2 linked regions of the Arabidopsis thaliana genome follow. The protein of the gene in region 2 interacts with the protein of the main gene of each other region in a pairwise test. Each region holds a gene or a part of one and is shown on either strand. Other genes may lie near its edges. The genes, in order: MYBL2 and AT1G74120.

What was found.
Region 1: the proteins of AT1G74120 (region 2) and MYBL2 interact in a two-hybrid assay, tested with the Arabidopsis thaliana proteins (one large-scale study listed by BioGRID).

Annotation. Positions count from the first base shown.
Region 1 is NC_003070.9:26,791,667-26,803,564, forward strand, and holds MYBL2 (MYB-like 2), read right to left. Parts: upstream 4,864-11,898; 5' UTR 4,561-4,863; coding exon 4,521-4,560; exon of another isoform or gene 4,351-4,520; coding exon 4,224-4,350; intron 4,138-4,223; coding exon 3,717-4,137; 3' UTR 3,386-3,716; downstream 1-3,385. Other genes in the region: AT1G71020 (ARM repeat superfamily protein), read right to left, coding at 1-247, 338-724, 816-932, 1,146-1,439; LPR2 (Cupredoxin superfamily protein), read right to left, coding at 5,535-5,588, 5,670-5,999, 6,070-7,194, 8,322-8,558; HIPP20 (Heavy metal transport/detoxification superfamily protein), read right to left, coding at 11,656-11,898.
Region 2 is NC_003070.9:27,869,960-27,882,691, forward strand, and holds AT1G74120 (Mitochondrial transcription termination factor family protein), read right to left. Parts: upstream 3,374-12,732; 5' UTR 3,302-3,373; coding exon 1,964-3,301; 3' UTR 1,215-1,963; downstream 1-1,214. Other genes in the region: AT1G74130 (Rhomboid-related intramembrane serine protease family protein), read left to right, coding at 3,728-4,047, 4,580-4,700, 4,781-4,900, 5,091-5,201, 5,361-5,411, 5,525-5,626, 5,708-5,749, 5,837-5,938; AT1G74140 (Rhomboid-related intramembrane serine protease family protein), read left to right, coding at 6,969-7,306, 7,845-7,944, 8,037-8,156, 8,432-8,539, 9,015-9,071, 9,219-9,320, 9,401-9,442, 9,530-9,625; AT1G74150 (Galactose oxidase/kelch repeat superfamily protein), read left to right, coding at 10,569-10,740, 11,110-11,259, 11,398-11,565, 11,809-11,961, 12,039-12,191, 12,284-12,448, 12,583-12,699. UniProt on the Arabidopsis thaliana protein: Transcription termination factor required for mitochondrial NAD2 intron 3 splicing and normal membrane respiratory chain Complex I activity. Essential for normal plant growth and development. Binds to RNA but not to double-stranded DNA.

The sequences.
Region 1 (11,898 bases), 1.1 Mb from region 2:
TACAAACCAATGCTCGGATCGCTGACATATCTCCACTTAGATCACGGAAAGACCCATCACTGTTTTTGGTCCTACCGTTCATGTAACCACCTGGTTGCTCAATGTTGTGCTTAGTGCACCACTGAGATATCAGGCTTCTGAGGACATAGTTTGGAGTAAGAGTAAAGTTTTCAAGTTTCTGCTGTGTCTTTGGGCAGCTCAGATTTCCACAGTCTATCCATCTCTGAATGAACGACCTCTCGTATGTCTGCCAACGAAGAGAGAAGATCATTGTTAAGGTTTCAAATCAACAACCATACGTTAGCACTATATAAAGATTTGATTTTTTAAACCAGACCTGTCCTGTGGAAACAATAGCAGGATCCTTCATCAGTTCCAGAGAGATTGGACAAAGAAAGTCCTCTGGAATCGTGAGATTATCCGATTTCTGTGAGTCATCGCTGTTCTCGGTAACTGCTTTCTCTAATCTCTCATCATCACCATCCTTTGATAAAAAGAAGGCCAATGATACTGAAGAGCTCTTCCAAGGAGGGGGTGATTCAAATTTCTTCTCATCTGATAAAGAATGCACTGTCTCTGGAATACTCTCCAACTTTTCAATAACTTTTCTATTACTTGAGGCATCTTTCTCCATTGGCTCAGATAAACCACTCGAGAACTTCTTCGAATTTAACGATCCATATCTCTGCATTGCTCTTCTTAACTGTAATCTTGCTAGTTCCACCTAATCACAAGCAAAAAAAAACCCTTAGAAACACCTCCATGGATAGGAAAACCAAATCTTCATACATTCTACATAATGAACAAACTTTTACCTGTTCACGGACTTCGTCAGAGATATCATATCTATCATATGTCAAATCACCTAATGCTTTCTCCAGCTTCCATGTAACACATTGGAACTGGAATGAGATCCTCTTGGCTGCCCCATCCTTCAATCAAAATCACACATCAAAGTTTAGAGAGCTCCTCATGTATATATTAATAATGCTCTTCACTACACAAATGTCAACAATAGTATCTTCCAATCTAAAAAAACTAAAAACAAATTCTTCCTATAAATTACGTTCCTGCCATGGCGAGACCAAATCTTCGTGAAATCACAAATCCATTTTCAATCGTTGAGAATGGTTTAGAATGCTTACAGAGGACTCGCGAGCTTGGAAACTAGTAGCTGAAGACAAAAGACGCTTCGCGGCTTGAAGTCCCACCACAAGATCAGACCACCAATCACATTCATGAGAATTCAACGAAGAAGAAGCATCAGATTCCGACGGCGGAGAAGAATCCCTGATTTCCTCAATCAAATGCGTCAGGAGACCGACTCGTCGCGCGAGATCGGAACAATCCTTCTTAAACAAACCAAAATTCCCCGGAATCTCATTGATTTCAGCAATAAGACCGATGAGAGAATCGGGAGTGATAGCTCCACCAGCCATTACGCCGTCTCACACGGCGGCTTAAAATTCGAATTTTTGTGACTCGCTCTCTCTCTCTCGCTGGCTCGCTTCTGACTCAGAGATGCGTCTCTATCGCTTTTATGTATCCAACGAAGCCATGTGGCGAAAAAGGATAAGTCGCTGTTACGACACCGTTTTGGTTTTAGTGTTTTTTGTTTTAAACTTTTTATCTAACTCTAAAAATGGTTTTTTCTTTTCTTTTTAGTTTACTGGCTTTATATTTTTAGATAAAAGTTTATGTGATACATTTAAATAATACAATAGAACAAACTAGATAATTGAGAGCGAGATTCACGGTGCAAGTAGAGGTTGAAGAGAAAATGATACAGTTGTCAAAAAAATAATCAATTATTATCATTTATATTAGATCAAAACTGTATAATAGAAATGAACTATACTTTTAAATTCAATAAAAAAATCCACTTTTCTATTTATTGAAGAAAATGGTTTGTTGTGTGCTTAGTTGTAAAGTAGATCTTATATGATTGTATTTTATAGTTGTGTTGAAATTTATGTTGGAGTTATGAAATTTATCTGTATGTATTATTTATGTAATCTTAAATGGTAATAAATAGTCAAATTAGTTATTTTTTCTATTTGAAAAGAAACTAAGATAAAATTTCCAGGCCTTTAGATGCATTGTATTGACATGTGTTTCTAGTATATGATCTGTCTTACCCTAGTGTTTATTAAAAGATGGAAAAAATCTTCTTTGTAATTAACTAAATATAGCTTTACATGTTTTATTTTCCCTTAAAAATAACTTTGTATGTGTAAGAAAATTTAATATCTCTTACAGCAAAAATGTTCTAGAAAAATTATGTCAATTAACATAATTTTGGTGAGTATTATATAGCCTGCAAATGGAACGGTCGAACATGACCCGGTAGATCGAATTTTAACAACATTTTAGATAATTTGAAGCATGTATACAAATTGGGACCTATAATTTTCTTAAAACTGTTTTACCACAGTTTAGTATACTTTTGATTAAAATTTATAAACATGACTTACATATAGTTTGTGACAGTCTTGTATTGAAAAGTTATCTCGGTTTAACAAAAGAAAGGTTCAACCACGACATCCACATCATATCGGCCGACGTCCATGCCCGTGACTTCTGCGTCCTACATAACAACCGATAGCAACTTGAAAAATAGACAACATTATCTTTTAGACATTTTTGGCAAGTTTGACTGGCTGGTTTCATAATTATTTTTGGACATATGCAAAAATAAAAAGATCTACATAAAGAAGAGGGTATTCGTCTGAATCAGATGAAGATTAATAACCTTGAAGTGTTTGATGAGGCATGTGATTTTTGCTTGCACATCCACACACAACTCTCCATTAACCACAATACTCACCGTTATTTCTGAAATTTATGGTGTAGTTGTACTTGCGGAACAATATGAAAGTGAAGGTGAGATCAGAGTTTATACAGTTGTGGAAACAACTTCTTTGATGGTTGTAGATCCCGCAATCGTAGAAACAACCTTAATGATGATTGTAGTTTCGATGATAAATATTGGTCCATTTTCTTAGCAAACAATCTCCTCTTCTATACTTGTCAAACATTCATATTCTTTGGTCATGCAATTTTGTTTAATATTTGATGATGTTTGAATAGCGGTTGTACAAATGTATTTACTTTCTAATTTTTATTTTAAGCATGTATGAAGATACTTTAAACAAATTCATTGTGAGTTTTGTTCAAAATATATGTGAACGTGTTTGTACTAGTTGGTGCATATTTGACCGTATAGTCTCCATGCTTAAGACATCCTTAAATCGATACATTTCATTATTTTATAAGTTAACTAATTTGCTTCCTTTATATCTTTAGTAAGTAATTTTCGTATTTATAGATTCCTTTGTGCGAAACGAGAGTTTGAAATTGCTTTTGAATAAAGAGTAAAGTGTAGTTTGGAGGAAAATGAACATACTTGTCCATTTTAAGAGAGTTAATTAATACTTCCCGTCAATGTGCACCGTTAACATTGCTGTATTAGCTATAATTTCTTACAGCTTGATTGATCAAATAAGCAGCGGTTATCGTCGGTTAGTTATTAACGATCTACTATAATACTAATCACTGAAAACAGAACCGGACATTTAAGAGAATAGTTGTTCAATGACCAGCCGGTCCAATTCAGGATTAACATATTTCAAACATCGTTATACCATCTCTCTAGTGAATATTATAATATGTGCATTTGTAATATAACAAATGTGTACAAACAAATACACCATTTCTCATCGGAATAGAAGAAGCGTTTCTTGACCTGTTGAACCATTGGTAGAGGATTCGCTAGAGTCCTGAAGGCAAAGAGCTGGCAAAGAAGTCACGGCCGGGATGAGACCAATGTTTAGGTCAGGCAAATGACTTCGTCCGGTACTAGTACTATCCTCCGAGCAATTGGTACTTGGAATGGGCAAAATTGTTACACCACATGATTCGGATACCGAAGAAGATTGATCACTAATAATCTTGGTTTCATGTTCCTTATGTGAAGAATGGAGGTGACGTCTAGAAATGTAGTTGGTGTGATGGTGGAGACGATGATTGGTTGGGTCGATTCCCATTTTTACGAGCTTCCTTTTTAGGTAAGTTTCCCAATGGATCCTAACTTCGTTGTCGGTTCGTCCTGGCAATCTTCCCGCTATCAATGACCATCTGAAAAAACATAACATCAAAATGATTATTAGCACGTACCGTTCACATTACTATTGAATTAAAGAATAAGAAGAATGAATACGAACCTATTGCCAAGAAGTGCATGAAGCTTGAGGATGAGATCGTCTTCATCTTTTGAGAAGTTGCGTTGTTTAACTTCTGGCCTTACGTAGTTTCGACCTCTCAATCGACATCTCTTACGGTGTTGCATACCTAAGAGAAGGGATCAAAATTTAACAAATTAAAACGATATATCGTCACAAAGTCACGTATGTACACATGTATATCTATGAATTCTACATCGACCTCTTTAAACTATGAATAATTTGGTGATGTGAATAGCAAAACACATGATTAATACTGTTTAAAGAGAAAATAGTTACCGGAAGGTGGGGAGAGAGCACGAAGGCGGGTTTTGTTCATGTCTTTTTCAAAGTGAGATTGGTTGAGTTATGTCTTTTTTTAAAACTGTTGATAGATTGTGAGGTGGTTTGCGAGAAGAAACTGATATATAGGATTAGGGGATGGCTTGAGGAGGTTTGACTTGGACTGGTGGGTTGAGAGAAGCGTGCATGCTCAATCAAACTATTAATGAACGAGGAAGAACAAGAAGAATACATCAACCTTGTTAATTGGTCCCACATTTAGGAGTTGAAACAAATAAAAATTGGTCCCATATTTGTTCAAATCCATTAGAATTTGTGGAATCATGAATGTGGAAGTGTGTCGCATTTAATTTGCCTTACCAATACCAATCCAAATCTCGCTCTTATCCACATTTTCGTAAAATATATGTACGGCTCCGATAGATACCTTTTGTGAAATATCAAAGATGTGTGTGTGGTATCAATAATAGATTCACTAAAATATATATTAAGCAAGAAGAAGACGAAGAAGATATTTGACTAGTGGCTCAAAATTATTTGGATGCATTATTTGATAAAATATCTGAAGCTTCCGAATATGACATGAAAATAAACAAATTAAGAGAAAATAGGAAACCATGAAATTAAAGAGTGTAGGTTCAGGAACAGATAAGGGAGAAACATGGGAGCATTCAATTGAATTTGACTGGTGGTTAGGACTTTGTATACGAGGAATTTTCTAATTTCACTCACCACTTCCCTATCTCACTTACCATCTACTCCAAAATCATATAAGAAGCAAAAGAGTTTTGTTATTGGGCCCGTTAAAGCCCGTAACTGTTAAAAGCCCATTAACAAGCTGCTTCTAATCTCCGAGGCCAAGTGAAAAACAATGATAGAGATATAACATCAATCCAATCGAATTATCTTTTAACACTTTCTGTATAAGATATTTATGTAATCTGAAATCTCAATCTATATCAACTCGTTTGTATTCTGCACTCGTAATTGTAAATTGTTTTCGTTTTAGAATTATAGCACCATTGCAAAGGGCCTCATCATCATATTGTCTTCATGGTCCAATATCTGCAATGCCAATATCATACAGTTAGTTCTAAAAGAAAAAGCTAAATTCGTCATCAACTTTTTAGTATTTTACCAACTTACGTGACAGTGGTAAACATAGCCTGGCTCTTGAGTTGCGTCAAAGGAGTAAGATTCGTTTGAGTGAATGTAAGAAAATCTAACGAGTATCTTCGTTACATGTCCCGGCATCATCTTGAATACGTTTTTCCATCCCCGCTCGTGTACCGTAACCGCGGTCTTGTTCCCTCGTGCGTATTTGCTAATCTCACACTTGACGGCATCGTTTCTTTTAGTCATGCACTCTATGAACTCCTCACTCTTCACCAATGCCGTTTGCTCCAATACTTTAAACAATCCCAAGTGAATGTGCAACGGATGGTTATCCTCGGTTAAGTTTATCACTTCCCACACCTTCATTATTGTAAGCATTAAAGATTTGAACTATACGGTTAGTGAATAGTGAAATTTTGGTTATAAATACCTCGCTTGTGCCGATTTTTGGAGTTTCGGTTACGGGAGCGTTGTAAGGCAGACCGTTGATGTATAGATGTGTTGGCTCGTCAATGCTTGACACATACTCGAACATAGCAATGTAACGTGTACGTGTGGAGGTTGATACATGAGCAGGAGGGTATTCAATTAGCTTCTTCGGAATAATCGACGTGTCAACTTCTGATTTGTAGTTGATTATAAACTTCATGACTTTGCTGTTCTCTTCCGTGACGGGATCTCCCGACGGGTAAGGATAAGGTGCATTGTTGGCAAGAATTGCCGTTTTCGATGTTGACTTTGAAAAGTCAACGAGTACGTCGACAATCTCCGACGGAGCTAGGAGAACAGATTTGGTCGATACTGGTTTCGCTAGATAAGCGGAATCGGAACCAACGACAATGAAGTCGAGACCGTTGGAGAAGAAGAACCGGAAGAACCTTGCGTTACTAGCGTTTGTGATTCGAAATCTATATTTCCGGCGGCGGACGGTTAATCTCGGCCATGCTTTACCGTTCACAATGATGGCGTCGCCGAAATACTCTGGCTGCCATTGTGGATGAATCGTTGGATTGTTCCCTGTAGCGTTCATGTAAATGGAACCATCTTTACGAAAAGATCGGTCAAAGATGACCAAAGGACGATCGAATTCGCGTCCGGTAGGTAACCGAAGAGGCGATTCGACTGAGCTATGACGGAGAATGTAAGAGCCTAACAAACCGGCAAGAAGGTTGACTCTGGTCAACCCTGCCGCGTGGTCATGGTACCACATGTTTCCAGGTTGTTGCTTGTTGACGTAATGTGTAGTCTTTTTGGTCCATTTGGAACCAGTTTCTTTGAAACCAGCGGTGAACCATGAATCTGCATTTCCATCGCTAGTTGGTTCGTGGATACCTCCGTGCAAGTGAACCACCGTGGGAATGCCGCCGTGTTTAGGGATTGCCGGAGAGATTGTTGGGTCCCAAGGGAGGATATGATGTAAAGGGAGGTGATTTCGCCACGTCACGTAGGTGTCGACGCCATAAACAGCTTCTATTGTTGGTCCAGGAACTGTTGCTGAACGCTTTGATGTACCATATGCGAACACTGGCGTGGCAGGCAAGTCTCTGTGGAATTTCTGTACTTCACAATGATTTAACTCATATCAGTGTGTGACAGAGTTAGAGAAATTCAAAAACTTAAATCATTCGAATCATTAGCAGAGTAATAAAATAGTTTAAAGGAACAGAGCACAATTAGCTAGGCCAAAGTGGTAGAAAAGCAATCATAATTATATAGTTAGTGGGTAATAACTTTCTATCAATTAATCATTAGATTTGATGATGTTCTTAGTATAATTTATCAGAACAAAACTTAAAGAGCTTATAGAAACTATAAAAAAAATGTGTATTCATTCGGTAGGAGAGCAAAATAATATTAAATTTGACTAGTTATAAAAGAGCACTGATTCGTCAGTACTATAAACCAATAGATATTTTTCTCAAGAGGACAAATAAGTGAGAGGATAAGAGTGGAGTACACAAGATGAATCAATTCCAAATCACTTTACCAAAAAAGAGCCGTAGCCAACTAAAAAGCACTTAAGTTTTCACTGATCTATACGATTTCGAATATTTAATGTTAATTTTTGTCATTAATGAGTTTAGATTAGTTTATGAACAAAGAGGAATTTGAGTATTCATTCGGTGAAGGGCAAATAATATTCAACATGACGAGTGATAAAAAGTATACAATTATTAATACTTTTTCTCAAAGACGACAAACAAGTGAGGGGACAATAGTGTGAACACAACACGAATCTATTCTAATCACTTTACAACCTAAGAAGAGCCGTAGCCAAGTAAAAAGCAAATTAACTTCACTAATCTTATACGATATCGAATTTAATGTTAATGTTTTTCATTAAGGAGATAATGTTCAACATTAGTTAGTCGGCTTAAGTTGGTCAAGAAAGTTAATGAGTCTATTTTTTTGCATGTAATACAGGTGTAAATCACTAAATGATGGTTATTTGAATTTTCTATCTAAATATTTTGGCCATTTATAACCTCATGACAGAAATGGAAGATGATCTGTTTTCACGAACGACTATAGACTGGAAATTTAATTTAATAACATACCAAATATAACTTCAAGAAAACAGAGAAAACAAGAGGAAAATATATAATAGAGGAAAGAAATTAGAAAACAAGGAAACAAAAATTAGAATATAAGGAAAATGAGAAGAAGGAAAGAATTAAATACCCATTTCTTGAAGAACATGCCTATGTGAAGAGATTTGGGTTTGAGGAAGCCATTGACGAAGTGGTAGCCATGAAGTGTTGGTATATGAGGAAGCTTGTCAACGAACATCTCAAGCTTCCCAAGATTAAACAGTCGCTCCTCTTGCTTTATGCCTCCTTCGTCTCCGGTTACGAGCCATGCCATCGTTACGATTAGAAGCAACATGTCTCTGGTCATTCTCCTCCGAGAAGGCTCCATGTCTTTGTCCTTCACGAGCTGTCGAAATTATATGAGAAAAGTCAAGTGTGTGTGTGTGTTTGTATGTGTGGAATACTTAAAAGTTGAGGAGAGAAGTTGAAGAAGTTCTTTGGGGTTTTGCGTATTTATGCATACGAGTGTGTGGTGTCAAATAACTTTGTTGTTCTTTGCTTTCATTCTCTTGACTATTGAGTCGCTACTTTCCTAGAATTTATCTTCCAAAAAGGAATGGTTTTTTTTTTAATTAGTAAGCTTCTACATTATAAAACTAGAATTTGAATATTATATGTACATGACAAGAGTATTGATTTTTCTTAAAAAATGAATATATATATATACGTATATAATATATCCATTAATTATATGGTTTATATCTATCAAAAATTAACTGAAAATTAAACAGGGTTCATACTTCATAATTCTTTTTGTGAATAACAAGGTTAATAGTTCTGTCTTCTCAAATGGATCTTTTACGAAAAAATCAACATTCTTCTAATGGAACTAATACAAGAAAGAAACCATGGAAACTTTTGGGCCTAGTTCGTCCACTATATTTCGTCCCGTTATTAAGATATTTTCTCTAACTTACGCGTTACAAAAAAAATTAGAATGAGTTTTTCCAATCTCTCAAAAATTGTCTTAACCATGTTATCGTTTTAGCTCCTTCAGCCTCCCGTAACATGCATTATCGCAGACCTATAATGGTTAAAGCTAAGGTTATCATCCAAGCTTGTGGGAGGTCTCACAAACATTCCTTCACTAAACAGATCTTTATTCGCATGTCCAAACACCAAATTTCAACCATTGAAATTTGTAGTTATGTTTGCCTTAAAGGTCGAACCATTTCTCTGCGAGTTAGCCGAAATCTAGCAAACCTAATGTTCTCTAAAACTAATTCTTTTTGTTTTTTCTGTTTTTTTTTATAAACTTTTTCTTCATTAATATTGAAAGTAGCGAAAAAGTAACCCATCAGTCTATAAAAGACTGACAATATAAAATATACCTAGCCAGGCCCAAAATGAACCCAGCATCAACAAATAATTTTTCAAAAGGGAGAATCAAAAACAGCCCAAAAACCTAACATATTCTTTATTTGTTACAAGTTGGAACTATAGTTCCTTTTAAACTTCTCTTGATGCTACTCCAAAGATTATCATCTAGCATGAGTTCTAACGTAAAAAACACGCAAATAGTGGTTATACATATATATATATATATACTCTATGCTTTTCATTTGAATACACATCATATATTATACAACTACAATATATATTCATGCTTTTAAAAAATAATTCAGACAAATCCAAGAAACCTAAAAATTAAATTTAACAAGAAAATACACCAAATTAACTTTTTGAAGAGTGTGAGGAAAAAAATCAAATTAAACCAAAATTAATCAATTTGACTCTGAATCAACAAAATTTAAAACAAAATCAACCATTATATATACAAAGTTCCTATTATATACAGATTTTGTGATCAATCCAGTTCTACAAATTTCAGGTTTGGTTCGTTTTTGGTTTCACAGATAATTGCTAGTACTATTGACTTTTGAGCCTGTCTATGTTTTGGTGTTCCTAGTCAAAATGACTGGAAGCCGTCGATGTCTGGGGTACTGTACACGTGGAGGTTATCCAAAAGCCCATCTCCCACCTAGCTAAAAATGCGGTTGTCGCCATCAAACGACGATTTTACCTTAAGTCCCACCTTGATATGTTCAAACGCGCGTTTGCGTTTTCCCTTCGTGTGCCGCTTCTCATCTCTCCATTTGTTTGCGTCCTTTTCACAGTTTCAAATCTAACATATCCATTTTTGTGTTTCAACTTTCGAGTTATGCGAAGTCATAATTTAATAATCAGTCATATCAGTTTCGTCCCAAACAGTTGATTTGAAATATCCAGCGAGATACTTAAATGTCATCTCATCATAAGCACCATAATATTATGAAATTTCAAATTCTAATATTCTTGGGATTTTATTTAAAGATCACTCATTCTAAGGATTAAACAGGTGTTTGTTTTACGTGAGGCATTAATTTGTTTTGAGTTGTACAAGAATAAAATCTCCCAGTATATTATATACAAATTCACAGCAAGGTTTGAACTACAAAAATATATTAAGATTAGACTATAATGTATTAAGGTTGGATATGTGCACGGTGCCACAGTTTTATTCGAAGAATAATATATTACATTTCTGATCATCCATGCATGTAACAAACATACTCAAAATAGTTATAAAGAAAACAAGAAGCAGACCAAATTGTGCAATAAATTAACCGTTTCGTAAGAAACACAATTTCTAATTTCACTTACAAATTGACTTGTCTCCTTGCGAGTGGTCGGAAATATTTTGCTATGGTTACGTTCCAAGTTAATTACGGTTACTACTAATTTTCTTGATTAGTTACGCGTCATTTTCTAAACCTAAAGTCATTTACTAAGAAAGTTATGACTACAAATACCTTTCTTTTTTTATGGCTGCATCATCAGCCGCATATCTACTTCGATTGAGGAACAAACTATATTTAATGGCTCCGAAGAAAATCTAGTTAAACGCTGTTGGATCTTCTATGTGTCAAAAACTACGTAATGGAAGATAAAATATAGAGATAAAAAGTTGATATTTTATTATCTGATGATGTATGGATTTCACTTGGCACAGCCGCATAGATTACCACAAAACCACTTCACAACACTTTTTTCGCTGACTAATTTGCCTTCACAAAACCAACAAAACTCCAACAGCACGTAGCTTTTTGTTTATTTTCTCTTAATTAATTTTTAACCAACCTGAGCACTTAACCGATTTTCCTTTTTTCGTATTTATTTTTAAATAACTTCAATTAATTCCACTAATATAATAATTTGCATAATCGTAAATAAAAACATAAATCACCCGAAAATACTTTGATATTAAACACATTGATTATACACATTCCACTAACTTATTTTGAAATATTGAAATTTTTACACAACTAGCTATAGTTGGTTCTTCCTCTCTGCATTAACATAACAAAAAGAGAGAGAGAGAGAGAGCCAATTGCTTGATAAAAACGTTACATGCTGTGGATAATACTACTAGAGTAAATTATTTATTACATAACGGTGCAAGCGTTGGGATTCTCGTCGCTAAAAAGAGAAATGTAGTGGTTCTCGGGAGCTCCCGGCAACAGCTGCAACTGCGACTGCTCAGATTTCCTGACATAACCGGCCGGAGCTTTTTTGTCGTAAGTTCCGACCGCGTATGGATATGCGACCATGTTGTAAGGAACGTACGGCCATATCTCCGCTTTTTTCCCTGTCCTTTCGATTCTCTTTAATACCTTCTTTGGTTCCAC
Region 2 (12,732 bases):
CATTGGGAATCCACCAAAATTAATAATGGAATCGTTAACCAACAAGATGGATTTGCTTCCCTTTGACCCAACAAAAAAGTCACTGTTTCCTCATTGTCTCTTTAAAACGCACATGACTCGACAGTGTCGGTCCTTCATGCGAACTTATACTACTATTTTAATAAATTCTAAAAGTAAAACCGTCCGGGGGATGGCTTATATTATATAGTCTAGTTTATAGACAGAAACTGATATAAATCAACTTACACAGAGGTTTGATTTACATTCAATGGTCATATATTATCAGTTACAAGACTATTGAAGAAACATAGTAAGAGAAAGAAGATGAAGTAGGTGCAAGAGGGAAGAGTCTGTTTATAGAAATTTAATTCAGTTGGTTATAAACTCATAAGTCTTTGTAGTCTCATAATTTGTTTGATCTTGTTCCATATTGGACTCTTCAAAAGAACTTAATGGTAATTGACTAATTGACCACTGTTTTCTCATAACTTGCTCAATGGATATTAAATCCAGCGCTGGCCTGTAAATCAATGTGCATAATTGCATCATTCATATTCAACTAGTTTGAGTTGAAATTTGATATACATATCATCAATTACGTCACGAAACATAGTAATATGGTGGCCATGGACGATGCAGGGTATGGACCAAACAAAGCATCGACCTCGTTAACCACAAAACTGTCTCCCTTGAACATTGATACCACACACACAGTGACACAAATATATGCCATATGAAATTGAAAAAAAAGCTCCATATATACGTATGTATAATAAGGTCAAAGGTTGTCTAACTATAGAGACAATATAAGCTGGCTTGTGGTGATACTTAAGGACAAAGCAAATGTCACAACTCACAAATCGGGTGTGTCTTTTGTAAGTTAATACTATTAGTCCATTTCTAACAGAAAACCGTTGTTAAAATACGTTGACCAAGTCAAAGATGTTATTTGACCAACTGTCGCTTCTTACATTACAAGCCTTTTAACACTTGGTCTTTTTTTTTTTTTTTTTTTTAGAGTATAAGTTTCGTTTTTTAAATACTTCTTGTTATTCACAATAATTTTTATTGAACCATGTAATCTATCTATGTATAGAAAAGTTTAATTTTCTCTATAATTAAAATCTTCATGGAAATTTAATATTGCATTTCAATTGATTTTACTTACATAATTAACTAGTAGTACAATTTGTGATTGATTAATACATATATAACACCAATAACTCTCTTCTTCATTAATACATAAATAACACTAGTTACCAATAACTCTCTTCTTCTTCTTTTTTTCTCCAATCACCCTCTTGGAATAAATAAGATTTAACTGATTAACTTCTTCCCATTATACAGATTTCATGACTTACTGACTCATGTATAACCAATTCTTCCATACATAAATCTAAGTTTCTTGTTAACAGAGCTTTTACGTAAAACATTTGAAAATAATGTTTAAGAAAAAAAATTGTTGGAAACAAATATTTTTGGTATAAATGCCAAAAACAAATGGTTTGTCTGGGATGGATCACGGAACAGATGAATCGGCCTAGCATAAAAGTTGCCAAAACGGGCTACTAGCCGGCCTGGCTCGGCCCACGTAACATCCCTAACTAGTAGTTACAGTTGGAAGTTGGAACATGGCACTTGACTTTTTAGAACCAAAGTCCAATTACATTTGCTCAGCAAATCTATCAGGCAGAGACATGGAAACGAAGGCAATGGCATTGGTAGATGTCTTCCCAAGATGCACAACGAGAAGTGAGCATGGCTTATTCAGGAGTATGCATTGTCCTTTGAATAATCAAGCCATGAACTCGAGCGAGTTGAGATCAGATTCGATAGTCACTGAAAGTTCCTGATAACCCATATCAATTCAGAGCAGCTCATAGCAAAGTGAGGGAGCAAGAACCCTCTAGAGAGTGGCCGATCTCTTTCAATCTAGTAAGAGGCAAGTCCAAGATCCAACATACTAAGCAAGTGACTCTATAAAGGACTTCATGTTCTGCACATCTTCTTTTGTTGTTAGATTGCTAGGCGGCTTCATAAGCTTCCAAAGCCCTGCGGGATGTCGTTTATTCACTCGGACATTCTCTTTTCTCTTTCCAAAGATTCTTTCACACTCTGGGTATGGCATCACGTACAAATTATAAAATCTTTTCATGCTTGGTTTGATCAAACCTTTCAATCCAATATCACAGCCAAGCCCACCTTTTAGTTTCAAGTAATCAATGACATTGTACCGTGGAACGATCTGCTTCTGAAGATTAACCCCTAGATACTCCGGTACATCAGCTAAACAATTGATATGAAATCCCATTCTGTTAGTTAAAAACTCAATCTTCTTCTCTATATCCTCTATCTCATATAAGATCACCCTCGGCTCTTTCCATACAACCTTGAATGCATCTCTACGAATCAACCCGTATTTGCATAAACAATCAACTCTGAGCTTCACTTCAAACCCAGCACGAAATGCTCCTTCGCTGATTATACTAACTCTAATCACTTCCCGGCATTTCAATGTGTTGATCAACTCCAAACACCGCGGAAGCTCACCTAACTCCAAACCAAGAACTCTCGGTTCTCTAGCAATCTCTTTCTTTACATCATCCTTACTAAACCCCATCTTCATGAACTCATCAAGCAATGGCTTAAGTCTAGTCTCAGTACCAATCCCTAGAACTTCAGGAAAAACGTGAAAGAACCTCTCAATGTTATCTCGAGCAATGCCAATTCCAACTAAAAACTCAATCTTCCTACGAATTTCAATCTCATTCACTAAAAGAACACCAGGGAATGAACTTAAAATCCTACTCACAGTACTATCACAAAACCCTAAACTCTTCAAAACCCTTACGCACTCATTAAACTTATCTGGACCAATCCCAATTCTACTAGAATGTTCAAGGACGCTCTTAATCGCAGAAGATGAGACGACACCGTGTTTACCGCAATTAGACAGAGGAACTCTCCATTTCCTCAGAAACTCTGATCGCAGAACATTAGGGCAATCGGAAATCAACGAAACGAGTGATTTCTGAGGGATTTTCAATGACAATAGGATGCCGAGAGAAATTTCGGTTTCTACTAAGTCCGAATTCAATAGGTGATTGTTTCTTGAGAGGAAGTGCTGAAGAGAAGAAGGAGGGAAACCATACCTCTGAAGGAGATTCGCGAGTAAAATTCGTTTCCTGTAGTGAGATTGATTGATAGGTGTGAGAATTCGTGAGGATAGTGATCGAATCTGGTTGAATAGGGTTATTGGGTAGTCACGGAGATTGATGAAGGTTTTGAGTTTTGAGGCCATTTTTTTATTTAGTTTCAAGGCACTCAATCACTGTACGAAGGAGGAAGAAAGACGATGACGACGTGTACAAAATTAAGATTATTATTTGTACCCTCAATGTTTCATCTTATTCCGAAAATGCCACCCACTATTTGTTTTGTAAGACATTTAACCTTGTCTTGAGTGGGATTGTGGTTTAGAGATGGGAACGTCATGGTTTAATGAAAGTTGGAAGTTGTATATTTACAATTTCCCTAAACCGGAGGGAATCTTTTGTTTACCTAAAAAAAGAAAGTTGTTACTTCTTGTTACATTTACATCACTATTTTATTGCACTTAAAAGACCTGAGTTTTTGAAACACACACTTTTCATGAATAATCAGAAGAAGTTGATGCTATTCTCTTATTTTTGCGCCATTTGGTAAAACATTTGAAATTAGTTTCGAAATGCATGCGATTTTCTGTCGCAGGGTCGCCGTCGGTTGCTCTTCCCCGCAGCTAACCAAATTGGTGACGAAGCAGGCGAGCCAGAGTCGCCATTCCCTGAGCCATCTTCTTCCTTTTGATCTCTCTTCCCGCTTTGTTCCTCCTTATGTTGTATCACGATCGGCGAGAGTTCATGGATTCTTCGCAGGGAAGTTGGGAAACACCAATCTGAAGCTGAAATTCGGAAATGTTATGGAATCTAGAGCTGGGTTCTTCAGTTCTGAGCTTCCTAGTCATGGATTCGAGTCTGGTGGTTTTACTGGGTTTCAAAAACGTGGATGGTATCGTTTCTTTTCCTCTCCCTTTTTGTTTTTCAAAGTAAAGTTGGAACCTTTCCTAAGAAAAATTCTGAGTTCCCCTTTCTCTATGGTCCTCTGTTTTATATTGTACCTATTTGTTTCCAAGTAAAAACTACATTTTTCAAAGATAAATTTGTCTTCACCATAAAATTTCTGGGTTTGACAGGATTTATTTGGTAAAGCATCGACCTTTTTTCACAACTCTCTTTAGCTTTTCTGGTCAATTGTACGTTTGGCTCTTCCAAGTAAAAGACGTGTCAGGATTCAGAGAAATTAGTAGGCTTTTTTTTTCTTCCATTTCTGCGTAGTTCTTGATTTTGAGCAGCACAAAGCTCTTTTGATGCTTTTCTCTTTATAGATAAGACATAGAATAGCAAGCTGGACACTGTTTAGACCTTCTCCTTTAAAAAATTGTTCTCCTACATCAAAAATCTTAGATTCTTTACCTGCTCCATTTGATTTTGGATACTAATACCAAAAAGAAAAAACCACTTTATTGGTTTAACTCTGGCAGGAAGTCTTGGATTAATGGAGCTAATGGTGTAGTTTTTGGATTGGTAATAGCTAATGCTGCTGTATTTACAATGTGGCGGGTTTTAGGCAAGGACAATATGTGGATGGTGAAGAATTTTATGGTCTGACCTCATCAAATTCTAACAACTTTTTTAAAAATAAAAAATCTACATGTATTATTAACCATATGGTATTTGGACAGTTATCAAGGTACAGTTTTATGACTGGACGTATACACACGCTGATCACTTCGGGTTTCAGTCATGTTGGAGCCACTCATATCATCTTGAATATGATGGGGCTTTGCTACTTCGGAGCCAGAGTAAGATTTTTTCCTTGTTTCCATATATTAATTTTCGTAAACGAAATGAGAAATGCTTTCATTTGTTTCCTATGAAGTATGAACCGGCTACTTACACTTAATCTGGCTCATCTAAGGACCGTCCTTAGTTCGTTTAAAAAGAAAAACTTGCTACCTATTGATCTTTATATCGAATCCCATTTGTTCTTAGATTGCAAGAAGCTTTGGGCCGCGCTACCTTTTGAAGCTCTACTTTGCTGGAGCACTTGGTGGCTCTGTTTTCTTCTTGAGTAGTCATGCTCTCTCGGTTATATCACTCAAGGTATAGTGCAACAAGCATAATTTTCTCATTTTCCTAACCATGCTAGGTCCACAGATGTGTAGTTTTTCCAGTGCATTTGTACTACGTACATGTTCTCTATGTGTTTGTGAGGTTTAGACGAAATGCTTTACCTTTGTTATTGGTTAATCAATCATACAGGGCCAAAGAGTTGTCCCTAAGGATCAATTAAAAGTCCCCATTGGGAAGCTGGTATGTTTTTTCACTCATCCAGTTAAATTATTTTTTAAAAGTATAAACAGACTGGAACAGAGATGCACACGCTCATGTTTTGGATGGTCAAACTCTTTCCAATTTGTGTACAGGGTGCTAATGGACCTGTGTATGCCATTACGCTTCTCGATATGCTCCTTTACCCAAAAGTTACTACATACTTTGGGTTGATGCTCCGAGTGCCTGTATTTGCTGTAAGGTCTCTCTAGATACTCGTCATAATGAGTGAAACGTTTCTGAATCATCTAAAATACTCTCACTCTCTTAATCTTCAGGGAATCTATAGCTTAGGACTCAACATTATAAAGATGCTAGAGGTGTGTATGATGTGAGAATCTAATCCACATTTGCTTTGAGACTATATGACTATATCTTAAACCAGACCAACTTTTTTGGGAATGCAGGGGAAAAACAACAATACCTTGACTAGTTTGGATCAGTTGGGAGGAGTTGTAGTTGCAGTCATTGCGTGGGCAAGGATAAGGAAAGGTCGATTCTGCTACTGATTGATTATTTTACTTTCTCCATCAAACCTTGGACTTGCTGCAAAAGATTCATATAACTTGTCCCATCATTATACTACTGGAGTACTGGTTATGTTAAACTTTGTGACAATGAGATTATTATTATTACTATTTTTTACGTTTGGCCTGCACATTTTGGAAACCTTCGTTTCCAAAGTAAACTAATTCTTATTCTCTTGTCGTCAAAATTTGAACATTGAAGATTATCTTAAGGTTATTGTCTTGACATTTATTCCAAGTCTTCTCACCAAGCTATTGTTTTCTTTTGAAGTCAATCACAAGGATTATACAGAAAAACAACGAATTATCTATTCCTTTAAAATAGACAAACCTAAACTATAAAGACTAAATCCTTTTTCCTTACAAATAGTACTAACATGCAAATAAATACTTATGAGAATATCCAAAAAGATTATAAAAAATTATTGTGAAAAGACAAATGCAAATTTTTCCTCATTTTGTCAAGTTGAGGATCTTTGTGACTTTGTTTAAGTTAGCCGTTTTATAGAGAACAGAGAGAGAGTAGATTCTAGTCACTTGGGTACATTCTAGGAATTGTTCAGTGTCCAATTACATAATTGTTTTGATGTCGAGTAAATCTCATTATGTGAGTTTGTGAAAGACTACTTAACCGATTTCTAGTACAAGATTTGATGGTGAATTTGCTTTGATTCTTCTTTTACACTATTGCGGTTGCAGCAATAGCGAGAAGATGAATAATAAGATATAGCAGTTTCTGGTTATGGTTACTTGATAATTTGATGTATGTAAATTGTGATTTTGGAGATGGAAAAGTTATGGTTTAAATTTACAACTTTCCTAAACGGGAATGAGCATGTGATTTTATTTTATTTTACTAGTGTTTAGTGTGACGTCACTTTTGATTGCACTAAAAAAAAGGTGACGTTTTTAACACACATACCTCATGGTGTCTCATGACAATAAAACAATCAGAAGTTCATGCATTTGGTATAAAAAATTGAAAATTTATTCCGAAGAAAAAGGAGAAAAAATGCATGCGATTTTCTCGAGCTTCTCTCGCAAGGTCGTCGTCAACGTTGGTGCTTCTTCGCAATCGCAGCTAACCAAAATGGTGAAGAAGAAGCCAAACCAGAGTCGCCATCTTCTTCCTTCTCGCCTCTCATCTCCTTCTTCAGTACCCCACTTTGTTCCTTCTGCTGTATCGCGATCGGCGAAAGTTCATGGGTTCTTCGCTAGCAAGTTGGGAAACACCAACCTAAAGCTGAAATTTGGAAATGTTATGGAATCTAGAGCTGGGTTCTTCAGTTCTGAGCTTCCTAGTCATGGATTCGAGTCTGGTGGTTTTACTGGGTTTCAAAAGCGGGGATGGTATGGAATCGTTTCTTTTCGTCTCTCTTTTTGTGATTTTGCTGGGTTTCAAAGTAAAGTTCGAAGCTTTCCTAAGAAAAGTTCTGAAATTTCTGAGTTCCTTTTCTCTATGATCCTCTGTTTCTCGTTAGCTAAGTAAAAGTCTACATTTTTCTGAGATAAACTTGTCTTCCGGATGAAATTTCTGGTTTTGATTTAGGGTTTAAACAGAGTTTCTGTGGTAAATTATCGACCTTTTTAAGCTTTTCTGGTTAAGTACACGTTTGGCTCGTCCAAGACATACGACATGTATGAGAATTTCAGAGAAGAAGATGAGAAATTAGTAGGCTTTACTTGCTATTTTGCCATTTCTGTGTAGTTGTTGATTTGAGTAGCGCAACGTTCATTTGATGATTTTCTCTTTATAGATAGACTAGCAGCTCGACACTGTACACACCCTTCTCATTAAAACTTTGTTCTCCAGATATAGAAATAACATCAGAATCTTAAAATTCTTCACCAGCTCTAGTTGATTTTGGTTTGTGTTTTCCTCTGGCAGGAAGTCTTGGATCAATGGAGCTAATGGTGTAGTTTTTGGACTGGTAATAGCTAATGCTGCTGTATTTACAATGTGGCGAGTTTCAGACAGGAGCTGGATGGTGAAAAATTTTGTGGTCTAACATATTACTGCTAAGCTCTTGTCTTGGATTTGGTTGATCTTTGATATGTTTGAACCTTGATTTTTGAGCAGCTATCAACGTACAGTTTTACGAGTGGATATATACACACGCTGATAACTTCGGGTTTTAGTCATATTGGTACCAGTCAAATCATCTTGAACATGATTGGAATCTCCTACTTCGGCTCCAGAGTATGAATTATCTTTCCTTGTCGTTTCTCCATAGAAAAATGCTTCTCAATATTCGATTTTTGTAAATGAGATGAGAAATGCTTTCATTTGTTTCCTATGAAGTGGCTACTTTCACTTTATTGGAGACACATTCACTAATAGCTAATATACTTAAGAAAGAAAAGTCCTTAGCTAGATACTATTAAGTCGGTTCTTTTTGGGAAATTTGCTACCTGCTGATCTATCCATTGAATTAACTATTTATCTTCATCTCTAAAATCCATTGTTGCTATTAGATTGCAAGAACCTTGGGACCGCTCTACCTTTTGAAGCTGTACTTTGCTGGAGCACTTGGTGGCTCTGTTTGCTTCCTGAGTTATCACGCCCTCTTGGCTACACTCAAGGTATATAGCAAGTTTCCTTAAATCATGCTATAAAAAAGCTTTTAAAAGAATAACTCTCTTTTATTGATGATTAGAAAACTCTCTCAAAAACTAAACACCAAAGCTCTTTTAATGTTTTCTCTTATGTTTGCCACAACTCAACAAACATATATATAGGGTTAGCACACACTGCAATTTCCTATTCCTAGTCCTACATGAATTAGGAAACTCCTTTTTTCCTTTTCTTCTTGAACTAGATAATTACTCTTTTTGACATAACTTAAACCGACTTGTTTAAGTTGTCTTGGGCTTCAAGACTTGAAGCTTACCCAACAAGGTCCACAGATTGATAGTTTCTTTCATTGATCATGTTGCATTTCATTTGCAGTACATGTTATATGTGCAAAACGAAGTTTTGAGGTTTAGACTAAATGATTTTACCTCTGGAGATTAAACGAAATGCTTTACCTTTGATATTGGCTGGTCAATCATACAGGGTGAAGGAGTTGTCATTAAGGATCATCAATCAACAGCCCCCATTTCGCAGCTGCTGGTATGTTCGTACTCACCTAACTAAATGATTTGTCTGAGCATGAACAGACTTGGTTGATAGATATAGAGAGTGAGACGAAAATGCACATGCACTTGTTTTTGGATCACCAAATGCCGATGAGGTAAACTCTTTCCTATTTGTGTACAGGGTGCTGATGGATCTATGTTTGCCATCGCGCTTCTCGATATGTTCATCTACCCAAAAGTTACAACATACTTTGCGTTGATGCTCCGAGTGCATGTAATGTTTGTAAGAACTCTCTACATACTCTTCTTATTGAGTGAAAGTCATGTGAACCAACTAAAAAACTCGCACTCTTTAATCTTCAGCGAATCATAAACTTAGGAGTCGAGATTTTAAATATTCCAGAGGTGTGTATAATCTGAAAACCTAATCCGCATTTGCTTTGAAACACTATATATGACTATCTCTTAACCATAACTTTTTTGGGAATGCAGGGGGGACCGAACCATATCGCATCGAGTTCGGGTCAGTTGGGAGGAGTTGTGGTTGCTGCCATGGCGTGGGCACGGATAAAGAAAGGTCGATTTTGATACTGAACTGATTTGCTGCAAAAGATTCAGTGGACCTGATCATCATCATGCAAGTTATGTTAAACTTCGTGACAAATGAGATTTTTGTCAACATTTTTTCGTTTGGGTTGGACTTTTGTTTTGTAAACTGAAACCAAGAGATCAATTTGATGGGTTTGGACCGTTTGGTTACATTGGAAACTATTTTTTTTTCTCTCTTTATCGTCAAAATTGGAACTTTTATTTGAACATTGTAGATTATCTTAAGGTTAATGTCTTGACATTTATTCCAAGTCTCATCCCCAAGATATGGTTGTCTTTTCACGTCAATCACAAAGATTATATAGGACAAACAATGAATTTTACTCCATTAACTGCAAAAATATTCAATATATTTCCTTTGACAATTTTCTATTTAACTATGCCGTTACGTTAATTTCTTTTAGACTTTTACCATGTTATTATTAATTTGTGTATGTAACAATTAATTACGGGTACCACGAATTACTCATTGGACACATAGACTTTAAGGTAAGAAAGATTACTCATTGGATTATTTTTGTTGTTGTTGTTGACATCATTACTCATTCGAATTAAAGCTCAACATAAAAAAGTAAAGAAGGCTCCGTTTATCACGAATCAGTCCATTTATTCAGTTACGTCGTCGCACCATTGTTTTAATTTCGGTAACTGTTTCTTTTTTTTTTTCTTTTCTTTTGCAGTAACCATTGTTTCAATAATCGTGTATTAGAGTGTATATACTTTAATACATTGTTATTAGAGAAAAACCTAAAGCAAAGGAATCACCTTTATATTCCTCTGTATCGCCATTACCATTAAAGAAATAATTTTGGGATTTTGGATTTTCCTCTTCTCGTCTTCAATTTTATAATCTTCTATTCCACAAAACCCTTAATTTTCCCGCACTTTCTCAACGCAAAGGAAGGATCTTTCTTCCAAGACAATGAGGTGGGAGAGGGTCCAACAAGTGGGTCTCGGTGATTCTTCTTCTTTCGGCCCCGGAAAGAGATGGGGACACACTTGTAACGCCATTAAAGGCGGCAGATTTCTCTACGTATTTGGTGGCTTTGGCAGAGACAATTGCTTAACAAATCAAGTTCATGTCTTCGACGCTGGTTAGTATCTTTTCTACAAATATCAGTTCTTGTGCGTCGATTCTCTTAGTGGGTTTTGCATAAAGTCTTAATCTTTGAGGATCTCTGTATGTATCGATGATTTTGTTCAATTTGCTCGTGCGGTAGACCCCACTCCCACAAACTTATCTTATTTTGTTGCAAATCTTGATCTTTTTCCTTTGTCCTTTAGTAACCTACTCAATGTTTCTTTCTTTGTTATACCTTACTTGAATGATTTGGACTTTATGATCCTTTTTCAAGATTTAATATATACTATTTGTTGGGATGCTATTTTGTGGTTTACTCGTAGTCATGTTTTCAAAATTTTCATTGTTGAAACTAGTCTCATTTGTGGCAATTTTGTTGCAGAGACGCAGATATGGATTCGACCTGAAATCAATGGCGTACCGCCCTGCCCGAGGGACAGTCATAGCTGTACAACAGTTGGTGATAACCTTTTTGTGTTTGGTGGTACTGATGGGACCAAATATCTCAACGATGTGCACATCCTTGATACTTGTAAGCTCTTCCATCGTTTCTTTTGTTACCCGGTTAGATTAAAAAAATGCTTGTGTTAACTGTTCCTGGTTTGACGTTTTTGAGTTTGAATCCAATTCTTTGTTTTTGGGTTTGCTTCTCTTTTTTTGTGTGTGGTAGATTCACACACTTGGATACGTCCGGATATTAGAGGGGAAGGACCAAGGGTTAGAGAGGCTCATAGTGCAGCGCTTGTTGACAAACGTCTTTTCATATTTGGCGGCTGTGGGAAATCTTCTGATTCGGATGATGAAGTATTCTATAATGACCTTTACATACTTAATACAGGTATACTGCTTAGGCTGCTTTTTTTAGTTTCCATGTTAATCCTCTTCATATATTATCTATAGTCAACTGATATGGAATCTGAGAGAGATTAGAGAATGGGCATTTTTCAACTGACTCCTTATGTGAGCATTGACATACATATTGGATGTTAGCCACAATGTGCATTAATTTTTGAATTATAAAAATTTGATGTCATTTTCGTGGAGGCATGCGTGTAACTGAACCGGCTTTAATCTTGTTTAGAAACTTACATGTGGAAACGTGCTGTAACATCTGGGAAACCGCCCTCTGCACGAGATAGCCACACTTGCTCAGCGTGGAAGAACAAAATCATTGTAGTAGGTGGTGAAGATTTGGATGACTATTATCTCTCTGATGTTCATATCCTTGATACAGGTGCAAAAATCATTCTTTAAGCACATCTTGTAATGCTTGTGTGTATTTCTTCTGATATTCTGGTTCTGTATTTTCAGATAAATTTGTTTGGAAGGAATTGAAAACTTCAGGACAGGTGTTAACACCTCGAGCCGGTCATGTAACTGTTGCACTTGAGAGGAACTTATTTGTCTTTGGAGGGTTTACGGATTCTCAAAATCTTTATGATGATCTATATGTGCTTGATTTGGGTATGTAACCAAAAGCTTCACTAATGACAAGCCTTCAATTCTCAATAGTCTCTGAAGTCAAAATAATTATTATTGTTGGGTTGTCTCTGTAGAAACGGGTGTATGGTCCAAGGTTGTTGCTATGGTAGAAGGGCCATCTGCTAGATTCTCTTCTGCAGCGGTTTGTTTAGATCCTTACAAGGCTGGTTCGTTTTTCTTTGTTGGTGGCTGCAATAAGAATCTTGAGCCGTTGGATGACATTTACTACTTACACACAGGTTTGTTAGGACCTATCGGGTTTTCTCTGATTCTTCAGTATCTGTAGCTAATATTCTGTATTTGGTTATAGCAAATTTGCTTTTGTGCAAGGTTGCTAATTATTCTCCTAATCTTCTTTGCTTATGGCTAATAGAAGGTAGATACGATGTCCGGTTTCATCAAAATCCAGGGAGATCGTCTCTAAGGAAACAAATGAAGCTAAAATGCCAAGGGCAGGAATTAACTGTGGCCAAAACCAACATTGACCATGGTGTGCTAACATGAACTCTTACTTTAATCGACA